Linked DNA regions of Schizosaccharomyces pombe. The protein of the gene in region 3 binds, or shares a complex with, the protein of the main gene of each other region. Each region holds a gene or a part of one and is shown on either strand. Other genes may lie near its edges.

Region 1 (6,463 bases), 1.2 Mb from region 3:
AGGCGTTTCGAAAAAATAACAAACCTAATACAATCTCACTATCCGTCGAAGGTCGAATACCTAAAAGACATATGTTTGAAACTTGCCCAATCACTAGCAACGATATCGGTACCTTGATAGTTGAATTACATCCAAATTGAAATATCAGAGCGGCTTCCAAATCAATTTCATCACAGTTTAATGCGAAATAGCCTTCGGATAAGTAGGCACCAGCATTATCCATCACACTGTAAGCCAATTCGGCAGGCAAATAAATATAAGTTTCACGAGTTTGAAAGTATGCATCAGTGATGATAGAATAATTAGAAAAGAACGTAGAGTTTAAGAACTGCACAGAGTAAATGGAAACGGCGTAATGCGTAAGCTTAGTCTGCTTCAAAGCGACAAACTGTCCCTGGTACTTTGACGTATCCACGGCTCCCAAAAGTAAACTTCCATTACCCTGATTATCCAGATACATACTAAAAGCAGGGTATGCCAATATATCCTCTTTAACTAGTTGTTCCAAAAAGGTTGGTGGTGAAAAACTTGAAATGGAATCCGAATAATCTATTGAATTAATTTCGGTACTGGCAGCTAAACCTAGCACGCCTTTGTACGGCAGCATTGAACTGGGAACATACTCCTTTAATGTGATGCCGAATTGGAAGTCCGGTAAAGCTTGATAATGACTGTAAGAAAGGGAGTCCTGAACATTAATTCCAGCAACTGTAATGTTATCGTCATAGCGGATAAAAAAAGTGCTTGGACTCGTAACAAAATGGAAGCTAGAAGATGCATTCCCAAAATAACAAGAATCACTTTCTTTTTTACAAAGAAAGTATCGCAGTTCATCCGTACTCCACTGAGTACCACTATTCACTATGCCAAGATACGCTGGATTAAACGCCATTACATTGTAGTAAGTCAACCATGTGTACGGCATGTCCAAATCTATAGCTACAGTGTACGAAATACTCGGACGACCGATCGAAAGGGTAGTAGTGTAGTAAGTGTAACTCTGCAAATCTAAAGGAAATGAAGTGATACCAGATGGAGAATAAGTATAGTCACGCTTCTCTAATTGATTTTCCTGGTTGGGAAAAGTTTTCGCAACGAAGTCCAAAGCTAAAACACCATTTCCCGTATATTGTAACGAAGAGACAAGTTTAATGAAGGAGAAAAATATTAAAATCCAAATCCTCATAATCCTTAAATAATTAGAAGAAAATATAGATGCAAGAATGTTTACATAGAGGTAAATTAAAATGACCAAGGTGATTATCAGATAAAAAGAGAAATAAAGAATAAGAATAAAGTAATATGAGAAGAAGAAATAAGAATATGCAAAACGGAACTAAAACAAAAATGCAAAGTAGAATAAAGAGCAGGTGCCGAGTTCTTTTGATGAAAGAATGTTTTAACGAAAGCAACGATGAATTGTTATTATCCCTTGTTATGTTGGGAGCAACAATTTGGCAATCTTGCTTTATAAAGAAAAGAAAATCCACAACAGAAAGTGGAAATAATCCTCAAGGGATGAGCAATAGATGCATGTAAAAACCAAATGCAACGCAAAAATCTAGAAAAACTTGATCATAAATAAGAGTCTTTCACAATTCCTAGCACGTCGTAAAATAATAAATACAAATTGAAAATAAGGGAGAAATAGATCACTTAACGATAGTTTTTTTAGAATGATATGATAGTAGGTTTGGCATGTAGCTCAACTGAATGTATTTTTGAATAATTTAAGTTGAAAGGGAAACGTTTTTAAAGCTTTGAAATATGCCGATAACCTTTATGGTAACGTCTCAACTTTTAAATAGAACAAGCGATTTCTCCGAGCAACAAAAAGACGAAAATAAAAGACAGTCTTATTGCTGTACTTGTAGTTCAAAACTGTGTCCTAGTAGAGTGCTATTTCCTTGTTTTTCTACTTCACCTAATATGGTGGTTGATTGCGGGCTCAAATCCCTTGGGGGGCCTCAACACCATCAGACTAACTTCGTTCACATTAGGTCTGAAAGTATACAGGATCCTTGAGTTCTTTATATCATCATACAATAAATATAAAAGCAAAACTGTGTCTTTTCTAGAATACGATTTGTATGCTTTTTCCAGCGTAATTCCGCTTAAATTGGGATTATGAAACAGGTACGTTTTTACGAGTCTTACGGGCCTTAAAGTGATAATTTTATTGTACTTCGATAACTAATTAATATTTTTAATTAAAAAGAAGGAGACCAAAACCAGTCAAATTGCTTTAGTCGATGGTGAAAAATTATCGATAACAGATTCTTTTGCCTCCCTTTTTACTCTAGACGAAGAAGAAGAAAACGACTCTGTAGACAATGAAGAGATTAAGTTAACAAAAGAGAAACATGAAAAGTTACTTCTTTTATTTTGGTTGCATTGCAAGTTTCCTAATGGATTAGAATGGCTTCATTCATCAAGTGATCTTTTACCAGAGCAAGTTTCTGAGTGGTTTAACTTTTATCAAAAGTATCGTTTTAAAAGGTATGTCTCATTGAGTAACTTTTTGTATTTTCCTCAAATGTACAACTAACATGCAAGGGGGCGAAATTTTAATCTTTCAGCTAGAGAATCTGTAACTCCTATCGTTGAAGAACCGATAGTTCCCGAAGAACCCGATAATTTGGAAGGAGTTTCAGAGGAGACACCTTTAAAAGAAACTTCCCTAGAACTTAGCGAGGAGGAAATTATAACGTCAAAATCTCCCATACCTTCACCTGAAACTATACATAAAAATATTGACGTAGAAGAGAAAGAAACTATTGAACCAACAACACCCGTAAAAGAAGTGGAAACCACTGCTCATGCTGAAGAGGAAAAAGGCCCTTTGACGCCAGATAGCGAGTATGCTGCTCGACAGCTTACCGAAGAACTTGCAAACAAATCCTCTCAAGAAGAAGGAGTCGATAAGCAATTAAGAGTGGTTGAAGCTACCGAAAAGGAACATGAGGAAGATGGGAATGAAGAAAATGTGACCGTTACCAAACCGGTAGAGGTTGCGACTGATCAAGTTGAGTCTAAAGAAGTGAAAAAGAAAGAGGTATCAGAGACAACGGAACCTACGGCTCCCCCTGTCACTGTTGCAGAAGTTTTGGAAATTGAAGATAAAGTCCCAAAGGTTGATGAAGTTGAAGAAGTTCATTCTCCTGAAGCCAAGGTCACTGAAAATGATGTTGAGAATGTACAATCAGGTATTGATATTGAAAAAACTATACAATTATTAAATAATCAAGAGATTCCTTCGGAACAACAAATCATTTCCGTTGACAAGGCCACTGAATCTCCTGTTCAGGAAGTAGCGGTTGATGTCAACGAGAAGCCAGTAGATGAAATTGTTGAGCCTAGTAAATTACAAATGGAAAATAAGTTACCATCGGAAAAATCCCCTACAATTGACAGAACTGGGGTTGAAGCTCCGCTTTTTGAACTTTCTGTATCTATGCCACTAACTTTAATTCCTCCTTCAAAATTTTCTGAACCGGTGAAACCAGAGCTTTCCTCAGAAGCATGGCTGCTTCGAACAGAAATGTCGCCTTTACATTTAAGGTTGAAAAATGCACATAAATATGTTCTATCAGATAACTGGTCTCATGCGTATCGCGAGGAAATTGTACGACAATCACTACATCATTTAACGGTTGCAAAAGAAAAAGGTATTTGGTCCTTTAGACAGCCCAAAAGACAAAACGAGATGCCACGATTGAAAACTCATCGGGATTATGTTTTGGATGAGATGCAATGGATGTCAATTGATTTTTCTCAAGAGCGTAAATGGAAAATTATATTGGCTCATAGAATGGCGAATTGGGTAATGGATTACCATCAAGCTAGTGATAAATGTACTGTTTGTACTCCGGCTTCGTTGTCAAAGAATAAGAAGCCGTACATGCAAGAGAATGAACATCAGAAAGACTCTCACGAGGAAACGTTTAATGAACAAATAGTGAGCCATTTTAATCTAAATGATAATAATAACAACAAAGTGCTCTCTATTCCCAGGGATTCTTTACAGTTTTATAATGCTGTTTTTTCGGATGATATATTTGTGACAACAAACTCCGAACAAATTCAGAACTGCGTTTTAAACGTTCCTATGTACGGTCCTCCTACTGAAAACAATGAATATTGTGAAGAAATATCTGAAAAGTACCCGATCACTCCTGTGTCACGTTTTGCATATGCCAAAACAAAGCTTAAATCCACCTGTGCAAAGGCTTCTAGGAAACGTTTGTTCAACCAATTGGAATTATCACCACCTGAGTCGTTTATGGAAAAGAAGGCGAGAAGCGATGAGAACCAGCTAGATGGAAATAAAATTAAGGATGATAATCAGAAGCTATCCTCAGTAGGAACCTTTAGTGTGCGGCCTCCGTATCCGCCTTCTAGTAAAGATATTCGTCCAGAAGCCCCTTGGTTGCCCGAAGAAGATGAACTCCTTTTATTACTCTTGCGACGATATTCCTTTAATTGGGAATTTGTTGCCAGTAGGTTAACACCACCAGGTTTGTACATACCGCTTGCCGAGAAGCGGACTGCGTGGGATTGTTTTGAAAGATGGATTCAAGTGGATCCCAGAGCCGCCAATGTCCAATTGACTGGCTCCCATGCAAGACTCGCTCAGCAGAAATTAGATGAATCCTTAAGACATTCGGATAAAGTTAGCCAACATCTATCCTTACGGGATGAAGGAACACCTAACCATTTGATTAAACATAATTCTTACTTCTTATTGCCAACTGTATCAAGACATTACCGACCCATTACTATATTTGAAGCTATACGAAAGATCCTTAAAAAGAGAGAGTTTGCTAAAAAACCCACTATGACCAAGAGAGCGATTGCACCATCTGCAGCTTCAACTGAAAAATTGCCGCCGGTTCCTTCCCCTCTCGAACTTTCTCGTTTGAAATCTGAGCGTGAGGCACAAATACAGCAAATACAGGCTCAGAGAAACTTTGCACAATTGCAATCACAAAACAGGGCTCTACGGCCGCAAAACGCCGCTGTTGCTGCTGGTGCACAACAACACAACCAGCAACTAGCAGCCTTTCAAGCTGTAGCTGCTTCACAAAATAGTAGTAACAATTCATCAGCGGGTGTCTCGCCTATAGCTGGTAGAATGGTCCCCAGGCTTCAGCCATACGCTGTTTCCAGTTCTTTAAAACTAACACCTGAACAAATTCATCAGTTGCAGCAAAGGAAGCAAACTGTACCTACTACTGAAAGGACACAGTAAGTATCGCCTCAATGCAATTTTTCGATTTATTGTATTTTTTTTGAGTGCTGTTGTATATTAGAAGGAAATTACGAGGCGAGAGCTTTTTCTCTCACACAATAAAAATAGAATACGTTTTCATTTTCGTATCCCGGTTGTTGGTTTTTTAACAGAATCAAGCAAATCGAGGTAATACGAAGTGTACATGATAAGTGAAGTTTGATTTCATAAACGTTATTTTAGCTAATGAATATGTTTTAATTTTTGAAAGACAGACACCATTCTCGGTAGACAAAAACTCCATGTGATGGGCCTTGTAGAAGCGGGCGACAGTGTCATATAACCTCGTCGTGGGACTTTGTTTAGCTTCTTAGCAGTCTTTGCATTCGTCCGAGTGTTCTGTCCATTAACGGGTAACCTGAAATATTCATTAGTTAAGTTGAAAAAGTTGTCGAAGACAGCTACGTTCACAAATGATCTTTTCATACCCGTTTACATGTCTCATTCCCCGATAGCATCGGATATTCACCAATCTTGAGATATCAGCATTCCGTTGACGCCGTAAGTCACCTTCAATAGTCATTCCTGATAGCAGTTGCGACAACGTTGTCAATTGAACATTTGTCAGCTCTCGAACCCTTAACGTATTGTGAAATGATAATTTTGCGCATATTTCTTCAGCCTTGGCATGTCCAATTCCATAAAAAGAAAGTAGAGCAAACCGCACAGGTTTATCGTCGTTTACAGCCACTCCAAGTATGTATACCATGATGCAAAATCTCAGATATCAACAGATGAGACAGAAACCAGCTCAATAATGAAGTGGACAATTTGGTTTTGTAATTCAGTTCTCTATCAGTAATCAGAGAGCTTAAAACCGTTCTGAATATAAGTATTAGGCTTTCTTGTAAAAGAGTGGAGTGGTGGTGTTTAGATATAATACACAGTTGGATCTCTCATATTTTTAGAAAACTAGTTAGATTGTACAGACTCCGGGCCTAGTAATAAAAGACAATTTGAGTAATCATTAAAGAGCTACTATCTAAGGTGTAATTTGATGTTTAAGAAGACCATAAATAGGGCAAGGTAAGACGAAGAAAAACAAATAAAGAAGAGATATCGTCAAAGGCCTTCCTTTTCTGTTCAAATTTTAAAATTTATGAACTCAAATGATCCCTTCGTTCAATGGTCTCAGTTTAAAATTTATTATTGAAAAATATATTCACGACATTA
Region 2 (4,549 bases), on a different chromosome or scaffold from region 3:
CTCCATAGTGATTAGAAGCACTAACTATCACGATATGCTTAAACAGATTTTCCTAATTATGTTTAGTTTAAAAGAAACGGATTAGTATAATTAACAACGACACTCGATAGTTGTTTAAAGCTATATTGAATGGTTGTGGATGACAAGTCGTTGGAAAATGACATGTCTTTCATAAGACCATAATGATGCATTCCTTAGTAGAAATTTTACTGTAAATAAAACATGGATCTTTTATAACAAAATTATTAGTTGAACCTACTATGCGAATTTTTAAGAATTTATTATTTAAACATTCACACAGATTTAAAATGAAGCGTATACTTACTTGGATTACCTCAGTTTCATAAAGTAATGTATACTAATTCAAAGGATTGAATGAGCCCTAAAGGTATCATTAAACCGAGTTCCTCACATCGTCACACATGGAATGAAGAGATGATTTAACGAAGCTTCAAATTATCAACTTACAAATCATTGCTACTAAAATTATAGAAACCAGATAAAGTTTCATTTCAAAATAAAAGAAAGGATATCATTCAATGATTACAATTCTCACGTAATATTCAGAACACAGTACGATGTGCTTGCTTCATCGGACAGGGCTTTAAGGGAATAAAACAATCACATTGATGAGAAATTAGAATCTAAAGGGGTACAATTTAAAACCTATCACTCATATCCAAAAAATGGCAAGGCATATTTAGCTTCAAATAATTGAGCTTTAATGTAGCTTAAAATGATTTTGTCAGTAAGACTTTCTTTTCTGCTTACAACATAAAATCCAATCGATGTATTGGCCGTACTCAAAAAAATCCGCTTTATGTATAATCTGCGGAAGATTACACAAATTCAATAGCATGAATATCACAAAGAGCCAACGAACCAGTCCAGAGTAACAATCTGTTACAAAAACAAAACTTTTGATGCTTATTGATGATAGCAAAATACATGATCCAATATTTTCTCTTCAAATGATAGGTATAAGGACAGGGAAAGAGTCTCATACGTAAAGTAATAATATCTCAATTATTTTTTATTTCAAACGAAAGTTTCCCCTTTTTTTCCACTTAAGGAAAATTCCCTAAAATCCAACGACTTTTAATTAAAGGTTCATTAGAGATTAGTAATTATCATTACACGTATTATTTACATCGTTTTTCGATTAAAGCCAAACGATCAGAACCATGTTCTTCATATTCTTGACGTGATATCCATAATTGATGAAACGTTCCAAGACTACTTAAAATAGATCCACCTAACCATGAAGCATAACTGCGTTCAACAACATGACCGGAAGCATGGATTTTAAGACGGCTGCCAGGATATAATTTTGAAAGTTCATTTTGCAGACGAAGAGAGAATCCTTGCATCAAACTAGTGCCTCCACAAACAATAACATTGTTGAGCAAAGAAGCACGGATATCAACATCGCATTCCGAAATACAGTTCTGGAACAACTGAGGTATCCCCAAAATGCGAGAAGAAGTGTTGGTAACCGAAGAATCTTGTTGTGATACCTCATTATTTTCGGTTTGTTCTATTGGCTTCGAAGGTTCCTCGTTCATTTCTTCATCACTTCCTGGCACAAACAAATGTTCAGGAATTTGATAGCGTTCCGCGCCAAACATCATACGGGAACCGTCTGGAAATTCGAACTCTGATTCAGCAATCGTGGTTTCAGATGAAAATGGAACATCGGAAATGAGAGCACATTCTTCTTTCCATTCATCGTAGACTCGCTGGACCTGAAATTGATGATAAGAATCTGTAGTATCACGAGGACGTAACTCACAATTAGCTGGCTGCCCTATCTCCACTGGATTTTTGCTTTTCACTAAGTACTTAGGCATCACTTCGAAATTCTTATCCCTGAGAGTTTGCGCCAAAATATCGTTAATTGCATTCCCAGAAAAATGTTGAACCTGATAGCCTTTTTGAAGCACAAAACCATCATATATAGCAGACACCGAGCTACGCTCCGCACCAATGTCTACTAAACAAGCAGTACCTTTCCCGCTTGCAAACGCCGCACACGTCTCCTGCTTGGCGAGGTATGTTGCAGGACAACGCAAAGATTCAAACATCGTTTCTAGTGTTTTCACTCGATTTTCTGGGGGATTATCAAATGGTTCCGTAATCAAGATTGGATGCTCTAAAGGATTAGTCTTCAACTGCTGCTCTAATCCATAACGCCAGAGATCTACAGTAACATCCCAATTTTCAACCCAACCATTACGAATTGCATTTTTTATTTCCATTCCAGGGTTTGATTTATATATGTATTCCTCACCGAACAACCGTCTGCCATCACTGAACTCTCCACAGTAGCTAGGGAGTACGCATTTGGGAATATCTTCTCCAGAAAAACCTATTCGAGTCCATTTGCTTCCAGGATCAATTACAATAGCTGAAACTTCATCTCCGCCATAAAATGCGCTAGTCATCTTACCAGCAGTACAGTTTGTCTACGTGATAAGATTCTCAGGCAAAAGTTGTCGTTGGCACTTGGACAAGACGCATCGTTGAGATCATGAAATAGGTCGCCAACGGCTTTTCTTAAAAATACCCATCACTCTTTCCTATTTTATTTAGTTGGTTTAATTAATTAAAAATAAGACTTTCATTTAGAAAAGTGTGCATTCTTTAAGCATTCATGCAACGAGAATGTCGCTAATTTTCAAGCTTTTAATAGACGCGTCAAGTAAACTAGGTTTTCAAAAATAAGCATTCATATGAAAGATTGGGCTCATAGCACAAAAAAAAACAATTGTACAAGAAATCCACAATAGTTGAAAAGATAATTATTATGCTCCTAATAAACAAATTCATTTAGTGATTTTTTGAGTTTTTTGCTATAGTCAGCTACGCAGTTTGGTATATATTTAACGATACATAGAATTACGGTGAGTTTCTCTTACGACTTACAATATAGCGGTATGCAGTATGTTAACTAACAATGTATATTTATTGTTATATGAAGTCTATTAATATCGGTTGCCGAAATAGCGTTACAGCCGAACCTCGTTCCTCAGTTCAGTTATGAGCTATATTAGTGATAGGTAACATTATAACCCAGTTAATACAATACCTATACTCAGTTGCTACTCATACAACCTGTGTATTGTAATATAATAGATCACAAGGAAAACTCACCGCAGTTCTACGTATCCTTAAATCAGATACCAAACTGCGTAGCTTACACACTATACTAAATATCGGTTATCTAATATAGTATAATGAAGCACAAAATACAATTTAGCGTGGGTTTCTGTAATTCGTCATTATGCTGCTCTTAAATGTGAACCATGCGAATAGGTATTTTTTATAATTGAGTGCATAGATTTTCTGTAGTTGAGCTGTTCTTAAAATTATAAGATATCAATTCTCTTTTCTCCATACGAATGTGTGCTCACGAATTTGCATCAGATCTCAACCTCTGATTAATCTGCTTCTTTGAACATTCGATCACTCTTTGGTATCAAGTATCTATTAACCAATATATAATACAATTTAAAGCAAAAAGACATCTAATAATAAACTTTTTCTTGTCAATTATGTCTTAGCCGCTTCTTAATCAAAAAGATAAAAATCAATCAATTTATTATTAGTCCACCTAGACCTACCTTTATAGTTTTCTATATAAGTTTTTTTATTAACTCTTCCCCCAAAACAATAAGTAATTTTATATGCAAAACGTAATCCGAAGCAAAAATCAGAAACCTGTTGCGAAAGAAAACAGAATCAAATGGAACTGAAAATACACACATCACCCATGGCATTTTGTCAGTCCTTTTAAAAAAATTTTTTTTAAAGAAGTTGAAAGCGAATATATTAATTTCAATACTCTTTTCAACACTTTAATCTATTTAACTTCAAGCATCATTTTAATATTCATAGCAGTAAGTTCCGCCGTCAAGTAATTGAAAACACTGGGTAATGCGATCAACGTAGTATTTGTGCCGCCGACAAATTTCTTTCCGCTACCATCCTGCCAAATGTCACTGGTATCTTCCAATCCCAAAGCGGGTTTGGCACAGCTTCTGCACCTGACTTCTGAGGCACTTCCTACGCCATTCATCGAAATTGTAGACATGATAGAAATAATAGACCCACAATCTCGACAAACCCAGCTCTGGGCATAATCAGAACAATTCATTAAACGATCCTGCATCAAGAACGATGTGCCATGACCGATAACAGCATCACGTTCCATTTCACCGAAACGAATACCACCAGCACGTTTGCGACCTTTGACGGGTTGACGAGTAAGATTATGAATGGGTCCGGTTGTACGTACTTGAAATTTATCACTAACCATATGGCGAAGACGTTGATAGTAGACAACTCCAATATAAATATCAGCCTTCATCTCCTGTCCTGTGATACCACTATACATAGGCTCGTTTCCATGATAGTTGTAACCAGCCTTAACCAATTGTTCGCCAAAGTAGTCAGCAGCAGTTTGCTGCTCAGAATAGATAAAGGGTGTGCTGTCTTGAGCCAAGCCATGGCAGGCGCCAGCTTTACCAGCTAAACTTTCAATAAACAT
Region 3 (5,206 bases):
ATTAATCATTCATATACTTAATGACTTTAATTGAATCCCCAAAGTCGTTATGATGAACCTAAAATTTGTCAGTTCAGTTAAAAAAGTTGTTTCAAGTTTTTTATAATTGAAAGTAACAACAATAAAAAGATAAAGGTTATTGATATTCAATTAAGTCGATAATTTCTAAATCTCCTACTGCAATCATAATTGCTAGAAGTACGCCTTATTAACACATACTATGGAAACTAAGAGTGAGCATTATAAATTCGATATGACTCTTCTTCATATTTGCTATTGTATCTTGTAGCAATGAGAGAGACATATAGTTAGTGGATGATTTTCTAAAAAATAAGCTCAGAGAACTAAAGTAAATGGTTATAGAACAAAAAGGAAAGAAACCAATAAATATATAATCAACAACCCAACGCAATGACTTAGTCTGAAATTTTTCCAAAACTACTTAAAAAGCTAAAAATGTATTCAATTTGAATACGAATTCGATAAGTCGTTAAGACATAAACTTCGTACATCGTATATTTATTATATGCTAAATTAAAAAAGCTGAACAATGAATTGAATGTCATTAAAAAAGTCATTAACCACATGCAAGTCTAAAAAAGCGGGATCACCAAAAATTTTGTAACAATTCACCGATTCAACTAGTACAGTATCAAATAAATTAGCGACGATAAAGAATCTATGCATGCATAAAACCAGGGTTGGACTGTAGAAGCAAAATCAAATCTTGTGAGCCAAAAAAAAAGCTGACTATGCTTTCAAGTCAATTCCCCCTATTAAATTTTTTATTTGGACAAACAAAAATCATAAAAATGAATAAACACTATTTTTCTAAAGAGAAAAATAGATTATACCCCAAATCCCTTCAAGAAATCAATCAAAATCTTAAATAAGCTAGTCGAGGAGAAATAGTTAAAATAAAATTTGATCGAAATCTTTAGTAATGGAAATATTATAAATACCATAGATAAAAAGCGTTTTATGACTGAGTACCCATATCATCGTTTAGCAAGCTAGCTCGAAACATTATAGAAGCATCAGATTCATCATCGAGTATAATTGTGTCATCGGCATCAAAGGGAATGTCAAAAAGCCATCGATCTTCAACACGAGATTTTGGTTTACTCAACCGATGTACTGGCAATGCACGAGTGCGATCCAACATCAAACGCCCTCCACGTCCTATTCGTTGTCGAACGCAGATGGGATTTCTGGGATGTAATAAAGTGCTATAGCCGTATAAAGAGTTATTTGAAGAGAATGAAAGTGAATCGCACGTATTAAAATTAGATAGGGAAGAGTGAGGTGTAGAGTAGGTGGGTCCATTATCAGATAATGGAGTCGAAGGGGTTGAGGAAGGAATACTCAGTTGATTATGGGATTGTTTCGTTTCTTTTCCTGAATAATATGGAATAATGTTTCGGTAAAACGAATCGGGATAATTAGTATGAATAACGGTACTAGGCGTCTCCAAAAGGTCAACCCAATTACGATCGAGCTGTTCCTTCTTGGTAAGACGTTGCTGAAGACGAATCTGAAATTGTGTAATTTGGGCTGATTGAACATCATCAAGCATTAATAACGGTCGAACTTCGACATTTCGCGTAGGTTGTGGGCGATAGGAAGCAGGGTGAGGAGAAGTTTTTACAGGTGGAGCTGGAGTAGGTACAGGGGCGGCGGGCTTTACCTCAATAGGACGTCGTTTAGGATTGATTAAAAGTTCATCACTGTCTTTTATATTTAGAGTACGTTTAAGCTTTTTGACAAGACAGCGCTTCTGGAAAATAGCATAGTCGTCTTCAAGCGCTTGCAGCTTCTTTTGCTCACGTTTGTACACTTGTTCCAGTAACTGAAGACTTGTCTCCATGCTTTGTCGTAACCTCCGTAAGCGATCATAAGACTGAGCGTCCGACCGACGAGTTTTGCGAGCCTGTCGAATTTCACGACGACGAAAACAAACATATGGATCATCATCATCCTTATCATCGCCAACTTGTGCTTTAGCCATAATTGGAAGACCACCCTTACTGATACGACGCTCACGCCAATAAGGGTATACTTGACTAGCTAGTGGTTTCAAGTACAGTACATCTTTTAACTCGAAGGAGGTGATGAGCTCAGACAAAGGCAATATTTGAGAGGTATCCATGCTCAAAAAAGGCTGATTTTGATTAATTTCCTCTTCAAACGTCTGCATGACAATTTCAAAATCTAATTCAGAAAATTTGGAAAGAGAAGGTTGAGCCTGTTTCAACTTCAGAAAATATTCCGTATCATGTTCATCCATGCAATATTCTGGGTTTGTACATTCTTCCACAGTGAGAGAAAACCGAATTAATGTCTTAGGAAGAATGAAATTCTTTTTGTAATATTTGTCAATTATACCTATATTTTTAGCCTCCCGTGTAGGGATAATAAGCTTTTTTTCAGATCCACGCACAATGGCCTCATGGGCTTCATTGATGACTTGTTGCAAATGTTTTTCCTATAAATTGTTAGAAATCTAAGTAATCGAAGATGAATGAAAAGCGATAAGAAAAAGGACAGCTGTATTCCAAAAACAATAAATAATCAAATAAATAAGCATTGCTAGAAACATAACCCAAAACATTCATTAGCCACAATAATGAAGTAGCAATCTTTTCTCAGTAAAATCAAATTTAGAATAAAAACTAAAAAGGTTCAATGAATCCGTTGAAAAAAAAAAAAAAACCTCAAAATTCGTGAAAGAAGGAGCATCAATATTTTTCAAGTAACTTTTAATTCTCAGTTTACTAATCTTTACAAGAGTAACTTTAACACAAACAAACTAGCAAGTTTAAAAAATTCAGAAATTCGATGCAACTCCGCTCAAATCATAATTTTCCGCATAACCCTTCGTATACATTGTAAAACGGTGATTAAGCACCTTTAAAAAGAGTGTTTATTTTTGTCAACGAAATCCATCAAGAAGCCAAGGTTTTTCGTACTTTTCATTATCTTTCACATTCTCGGGTTCGCACTTACCTCTTCCTCTTCTTTTTCAACACCAGATTCCACCAAGGGAACTGTCCGCTGAAGTGAAGCTTCTTCATCAAAGTCAGGTATATCACGTTCGAAATAAATCGGCATAACGGTTTTAATACCGACCTTCCGTTGACGATATGCCCTAGCATTTTTGGAGACGGAACTCATGATAATATTGGTATCGTTGGACTCCAATCACTTAAATCTATCCAACCGTAAAATTATAAGATACTCGTCTCACTCAAAATCTTGTAGAAACAGGCGCTAAATCCTGGCGTAGTTGACGGCCGTCGTCGTTGGTGTGTCAAACCACTAGGGGTTAACAAACCGAATGAAATTTTTCATAAACCTCTTCACTGCGATAATTTACCGAGGAGCAACGTAACCAAAAATAATTTTCTAATACGCTCGTACCGTTAATATACAACGTATTGTAGCGATATTTACTGGAGATTCCAGGTGTAAACAATGGAAGAAACCGATGGCAGGAGAAACAAAAGAGGAAATTGTCAACCATCAGTTGAAGTGAAGTCCATAAAACTCCATAGTGAATTATAAGGAATCAAGTTCTATCATAGTTCATCTTATTGACGTCGGAAAACCCTCGTCAATACTCAATAGAAAAAAAGCATTACTAATTCAAAAGAAAAGTCATGATCTGCTAGTATTCGTAGTCTCTAGTAGCAGAAAAAAGCACTTGATTTTTACTTTCAATGCGTGTTATAGACCATGAATAGGCATTTCTGTTAGAATAATAAACTGTTCGCAGCAGAGCCAGGTGGAACATAGAAGTAAACAGCGGAATAAATTCTACATTTTTTTCCACTAACGAAGATGTTTTCCGTATCTCATCAATTATCTATGCCAACTGCGCATAGTATAGGGTGAGAAAAATGAATGTCTTTTTCAAAACGAAGCAAGTTGTAGACAAACATTTTCAACGTTCCACATTTGCTTTTTCCAGAAACCAAGCCCTTTTCAGGAAGATTAAAATTTGATTTAAAAACATGAATTGCAATCTTTCAAATATTCGAAAGTCCTTTCAAATACTTACCAAACATGTCGAAAAATTGCTCATTCTCAGATTTTGCTTCCTTCATAATCTTAAGCTCATATGGTAAAGCTTAATCAGCATAAAACTGCTAAAGCAGTTTAAAAAAAATTTGGTCATCAGAAAGAATAAAGGTTAAAGGTATTTAGTTTTGAAAAATTACAAAACCTCGCCTTTAAAAATCCAAGATGCAGAAACAGCCATCTCCAAAGCAATTATGAATTGCTCTAAACCTCAATTCTTTGTCGTTTTTAAGCCGGATTTTCGTTTGATGCATCCTTTCTAAAAATGAAAAGCTGCCATTGCAGTTGAATTTTCAATTACAAGCTTACAGATAATTTTCATAGCTATTTTTTTGCACAACCCAACATGTTTTCAAGTCATTTTTTGAAATTTACGGATTCCACGATTATCTTTGAGATTGGTGGAAGACAAAGTGTGCCAAGTGACATTCGACCCTTACATTCAGAAGGATTTTGACTCAAACTACCACCACCGATATAAGGAATTTTCTTTGAAAGGTAGCTGACCGTTATATTCTTGGTTTGTTAATTGAACCTTACTCATTTCATATTATTGTGTTTCCCTCTCATGGGTCAGTCGCAGTCGCAAATCTTTGAGGACTTGATCTCAAATTCATCCTGTAAGTTTGATGCTTAGTACGTGTGGCCAAAAGTGTTCTTATCATTATATTTTTTCATGTTAGAATACTTACATCTCTTGTCGTCTATTTCTTTTTAAGATTATAGCCAATTCATCAAAGTTGCCGGTTTCACATGCACAATGCAAAAGTATTAGCACCTCAAAGCGACTCGGCTAACGTTCATTGTATCTAGTTTCCAATGAGGAGATAGAAAGAATTCGCAAGCGTTTTATTAAAATAGATGCTAACCAATCTGGCTCTATTGACCGAAACGAATTTTTGTCGATTCCCAGTGTAGCTTCTAACCCACTTGCTTCCAGACTGTTTTCAGTTGTAGACGAAGACGGTGGAGGAGATGTGGACTTTCAAGAATTTATTAATAGCCTTTCTGTATTTTCAGTGCATGGCAATAAAGAGGAAAAGCTGAAGTGTAAGCTCAATCAACTTGTCGTTCCTTTGCAAATTATGTTCTAACATTATTGTTTTATCTAGTTGCCTTCAAGATT
Region 4 (4,083 bases), on a different chromosome or scaffold from region 3:
CCGGTGAAGATACCATTCCAACGGCTATTGTTGTGAAAAATATTCCTTTCTCGTTGGAGAAAGATACATTGTTGGATCATTTTAAGCAACTAGGTATTCCCAGACCTTATGCCTTTAATTATCACTATGACAATGGAATATTTCGAGGATTGGCTTTTGCTAATTTTTATCGTCCTGAAGAGGCTCAAGTTGTTGTGCAAACGCTTAATGGCTATGAAATTAATGGCAGACGTCTTCGTGTTGAATGGAAACGCCAATTACCAGCTGCAGAACGCGAGAAGGTGGAAAAAGCAAAGAAACGTCAAGCTGAAGAAAGACGTCGTAAACAGCAGTACAAGATGTTTGAAGTTAGCTTTACTGATCAAGGCTTAAATTTGAATGACACTGGTACCCTTGAAACTTATAGTAGACTTCTATTGTTTGCTCATCAATGCATTCCTTCTCGTGAAATAACATTTGAAACCACTTCTAAGGACGGAAACCTTCTAAATGCCATTAGAATCTTTTGCCTGTACTTTGATCTCGATTACTATGCTCGCCCGAATGGAGAGGTGTTAAAATTAGTAGTTACTCATCCGAATAAAAAGAATACGAGCGTAAGTCAGTCGCAACCTGCATCTCCAAATTTAAGATTTAATATGCCGGCACCGTTAGCTACTCGATTTTTGCAAGAGCATTCATTGAATGGTACTAAGAGTGCCCCTATAACCCCACCTCCCAGTTTCGCAGTACCATTGACAAACCAACTTCGTTCGATTGACGACAAAATTTATGGAAATGAATCACCGCTTCAAAAGGCTTCTACTTTGAGTTCACCTTTCAATTCAAAAAATGATAATGATGCTTCTACCTCCGCTTCCAAGCAGAGTTTTGGTGTCTCCCACTTTTAGAGTCTATGCAATTATAAAGAAACTGTTTATGTACCTTTTAAGATATGATTTTTGTTTACGCCAACTATAGATGCATTTACTATACGCTATTTGTTTTGACTAAATTTTGCTCTTTATCCCTTTATCACTTACTTCTGATGAATCTAAACTCTATGGGCTTCATTTTGTTGATTTTTTGTTTTCCCTTTCACATAGTTGGTTATCCAGCAAATAATCCTTTTAAATACTTAGAAGCTTATATTTTATCGTTTTGAATTCCCACGACACATTTGGACGACTCGACTTAACAGCAATCAATGATGGATATATGTTGGGTGAGGCATAATGTTTTATGACGATAATCAACGGATGAGCGATGCTCCTATTTTTTTACAAATTATAACGATTTTTCTTGTATAAGAAATTTATGCCCTACCGTATAATATACACATACTTTACATGATTAAATTTAACCTTGGACAAATACATTAGTCTGATATTACAAAATTGAACTTTTATTTTTGTAAATTTAATCATCTTCTTTATGTGGATGTGAATGTTCCTAGCTTAGTATTACCGTACTATGGATATAGAAATAAACCTACGATTTAAAGTCTATTTTCTACCAAGCTTGTAGGGCTTTAAATGAGCTACTTTAAAATTACCTAAAATATCGTTAAATTTTCCTATATAATGCGAATTGATTTATATGTAAAAAAGAAAAAGAAATTGCAAGCATGGTGGACTTTTAGTTCCATTGTTAGTAAGTTGTAATTAAAGGAAGTTACAAAGGATTCACTAAAATAAGAATACTTTATGGGTTATCGCAGCCTTACTCAATTACTGCACTTGAATGTCTATTGAATTTAAGAATGAAGAAAGGATAACACAAAGATGCACGATTCTTTTTGGATGAACTTTTATTTTTTGTTAAGGTTATGAAAAAAGATGAAATACACTTGACCTTGTAATTACTGCAGCTAGAAAAAGAAAATATTATAAAAACCAGTTTCATGAGTTATGGCTGGAAGTACCGCACAACACCATAAATATTGATAATCTGCTATATTGCCGATAATATAAAGTTAAATTAGTAGAAAAAGTAAACTAAGAAACAGAAATTTTCTTATTTTACCCATATAAACCTATGTATTAGAGGATAGCAATTGTATTTATGAGTTCGAGGGGAACAAGATCATCAACTGCTGCCGAGCAGAAAAGGCAGGAGGATGTAAATAAAGAATCAAATATGAATGATTCTGTTACTGAATGGTCTGTTTTAGAGGAAACCTTACTGTTAAAAGCTATTTGTCGTGGATTGCGCCCTGTAGGTAAGTGTTCGAAAGGTTAATTGCTCGGTCTCTTATTTTAAAAGCTGCATGTTATCAAATTATTGCATTCATTCACTAATTAAAAAATAGGAATAGAAAAAAATTTTTATATGATAGGGATTTTACGAGAAATTCGTGATGGCTGCAAAAGATCAACAATTAAGGCTCAGGACGTTTGGAATAAATTAGGAACACTTTATAATTTGAAAGAGTTTGAAGAATTGGTATGTCAAAAAGCCTTTTAATTTTTTGTTTTCAAGTATTTGTTGACAGTTTTTTAAATTAGGAAGCTCCAGGAAATGAAGAAGTTAAGGCGAAAGAAAAACGAATAAAGTCGCCAGATGTTAAAGATTTTAAATTACCAAAAGATATTCTTAAAGTAAAAGAAAAATCCGAGAAACCATTGGAAACATCTCAAAAAGTGGAGATTGAAACGGTAGAAACTAAACCCGGTGAACCCGAAGTTAAGCAGGAGACGAATTTACAGAAAGAGAAGAAGGAAAGTAAAGTCAAGCTTGAATCTAAAGAAGAGAAAATTTCTCGGAATTTACGATCCTCTTCTAGAAGTATTTCTCCTGTTACTGAACAGCCGCAAAGTCCAAAGATTCAGCCTGTTATTCCCGAAAAAAAAGAAAAGTCTGAAAAGAAAGAGAGTTCCATGACTTTGCGAAAAAGATCCGTCTCGCCATCTTCTCAAAATACAGCCCGTTCTCCAAAGCGTATGGCTACTGAGCCCATAGAGCCTGCTTCTTCACCGGCAGCTTCAAACCAAGCTATTCGCCGTAGCTCTCGAAGCCGGAGGCCTCCGACCTAGCTCTTGTTAACAGAAAAACCTAGGATGGGAAAGACTGATTATTTGTACATATCATTTATGCTTGGTCTACTCTAATGAACGGTTATTTATATATGAGACCAAAATTAATTATCACAAGGGATTTATAAAAAGTGAAAAATAAAAAGAATTATGATTTTACTACAACTAATATTTTGTATGTCAAGGAGATTTGTTTTAGCAGAATTATAGGTTTAATGGGATCGACGGCATGTCCAAAACTAATTTGCTTTTGCAGTTTTACTCCTTTTTGATGCTCGATTCACGTAATGGGAAAAGACGAACGGCTTTGTTACAAACAAATTTACTCTGATTTACCGCTACGATTTTTGAATCCCGTCACTTCTTTACTGTTCGTTACGATGTTTTATGTAGCTATATATACTGTTTGATAGCTTGACTTGCTAAAAAAAATCTTCTAACTGTGAGTTTTCAATTTTAATTCGATAGGTCCATATGTTAATGTCGATTTGGTTGGAAATATGTTTTAAAGTATGTTTAACACGCATAGACAGAGAGATTCCAATAGGTAGTATACATATTACTTTCAAATTGATGAGCAAATTGTTTTCAAAACCTTACACAGGTAACGATTTGATCAATGAATTTTTCAATTCCGGTGAAACGGACTTGAGTATTCACATGAGTTAATGTATTATTTATCGGCACATCAGACCATTGCCTAGCAGAGTCTGCCGAATTTAACAACTTTTAAAACACAATAGATCTATAAGTACAGCTCTCTAATAGCAAAGCAAAACTGAGCAACCCGTCATTGCGAAACCTTTAAAAGACATCAAAAATACACAAACGCGCTTGCATTCAGGTACATAAACATGCAGCGGGATCTACTTCATAGAGTTTCGTAGATTCCCTTACTTGAAAGGTTAATATCGTACATAATTTTCATACTGTGAGGCAAAAATCTCATTAATATTTAGTATTCAACAACATAAAAACAATTTTAGCAATTAAACTTGAAACCGTTTAATAAACAATGGAAGTACACTAACAAAGATAATCCTAGTGTCTCTCTATTCAGAATTGATAT

What was found.
Region 1: epl1 (region 3) and vid21 share a complex: the UniProt entries of both Schizosaccharomyces pombe proteins name them as parts of the nuA4 histone acetyltransferase complex.
Region 2: epl1 (region 3) and alp5 share a complex: the UniProt entries of both Schizosaccharomyces pombe proteins name them as parts of the nuA4 histone acetyltransferase complex.
Region 4: epl1 (region 3) and eaf7 share a complex: the UniProt entries of both Schizosaccharomyces pombe proteins name them as parts of the nuA4 histone acetyltransferase complex.

Annotation. Positions count from the first base shown.
Region 1 is NC_003421.2:978,993-985,455, forward strand, and holds vid21 (NuA4 histone acetyltransferase complex scaffold subunit Vid21/Eaf1), read left to right. Parts: upstream 1-1,978; 5' UTR 1,979-2,127; coding exon 2,128-2,136; intron 2,137-2,153; exon of another isoform or gene 2,154-2,218; coding exon 2,219-2,499; exon of another isoform or gene 2,500-2,556; coding exon 2,557-5,251; 3' UTR 5,252-5,473; coding exon of another isoform or gene 5,474-5,648; 3' UTR 5,649-5,718; downstream 5,719-6,463. Other genes in the region: yapsin Yps1, read right to left, coding at 1-1,186; sws2 (mitochondrial 37S ribosomal protein uS13m), read right to left, coding at 5,474-5,648, 5,719-5,999. UniProt on the Schizosaccharomyces pombe protein: Component of the NuA4 histone acetyltransferase complex which is involved in transcriptional activation of selected genes principally by acetylation of nucleosomal histone H4 and H2A. The NuA4 complex is also involved in DNA repair.
Region 2 is NC_003423.3:2,010,957-2,015,505, reverse strand, and holds alp5 (Ino80, NuA4 and Swr1 complex actin-like protein Arp4), read right to left. Parts: upstream 2,508-4,549; 5' UTR 2,445-2,507; coding exon 1,143-2,444; 3' UTR 501-1,142; downstream 1-500. Other genes in the region: GINS complex subunit Psf1, read right to left, coding at 1-6; DNA-directed RNA polymerase I complex subunit Rpa2, read right to left, coding at 3,863-4,549. UniProt on the Schizosaccharomyces pombe protein: Chromatin interaction component of the NuA4 histone acetyltransferase complex which is involved in transcriptional activation of selected genes principally by acetylation of nucleosomal histone H4 and H2A. The NuA4 complex is also involved in DNA repair.
Region 3 is NC_003421.2:2,187,556-2,192,761, forward strand, and holds epl1 (NuA4 histone acetyltransferase core complex-Piccolo HAT module linker protein Epl1), read right to left. Parts: upstream 3,321-5,206; 5' UTR 3,175-3,320; coding exon 3,007-3,174; exon of another isoform or gene 2,800-3,006; intron 2,486-2,799; coding exon 980-2,485; 3' UTR 528-979; downstream 1-527. Other genes in the region: cnb1 (calcineurin regulatory subunit B), read left to right, coding at 4,649-4,700, 4,894-5,130, 5,193-5,206. UniProt on the Schizosaccharomyces pombe protein: Component of the NuA4 histone acetyltransferase complex which is involved in transcriptional activation of selected genes principally by acetylation of nucleosomal histone H4 and H2A. The NuA4 complex is also involved in DNA repair.
Region 4 is NC_003423.3:4,259,280-4,263,362, reverse strand, and holds eaf7 (NuA4 histone acetyltransferase complex subunit Eaf7), read left to right. Parts: upstream 1-1,901; 5' UTR 1,902-2,043; coding exon 2,044-2,200; exon of another isoform or gene 2,201-2,290; coding exon 2,291-2,424; exon of another isoform or gene 2,425-2,486; coding exon 2,487-3,014; 3' UTR 3,015-3,551; downstream 3,552-4,083. Other genes in the region: RNA-binding protein Cip1, read left to right, coding at 1-890. UniProt on the Schizosaccharomyces pombe protein: Component of the NuA4 histone acetyltransferase complex which is involved in transcriptional activation of selected genes principally by acetylation of nucleosomal histone H4 and H2A. The NuA4 complex is also involved in DNA repair.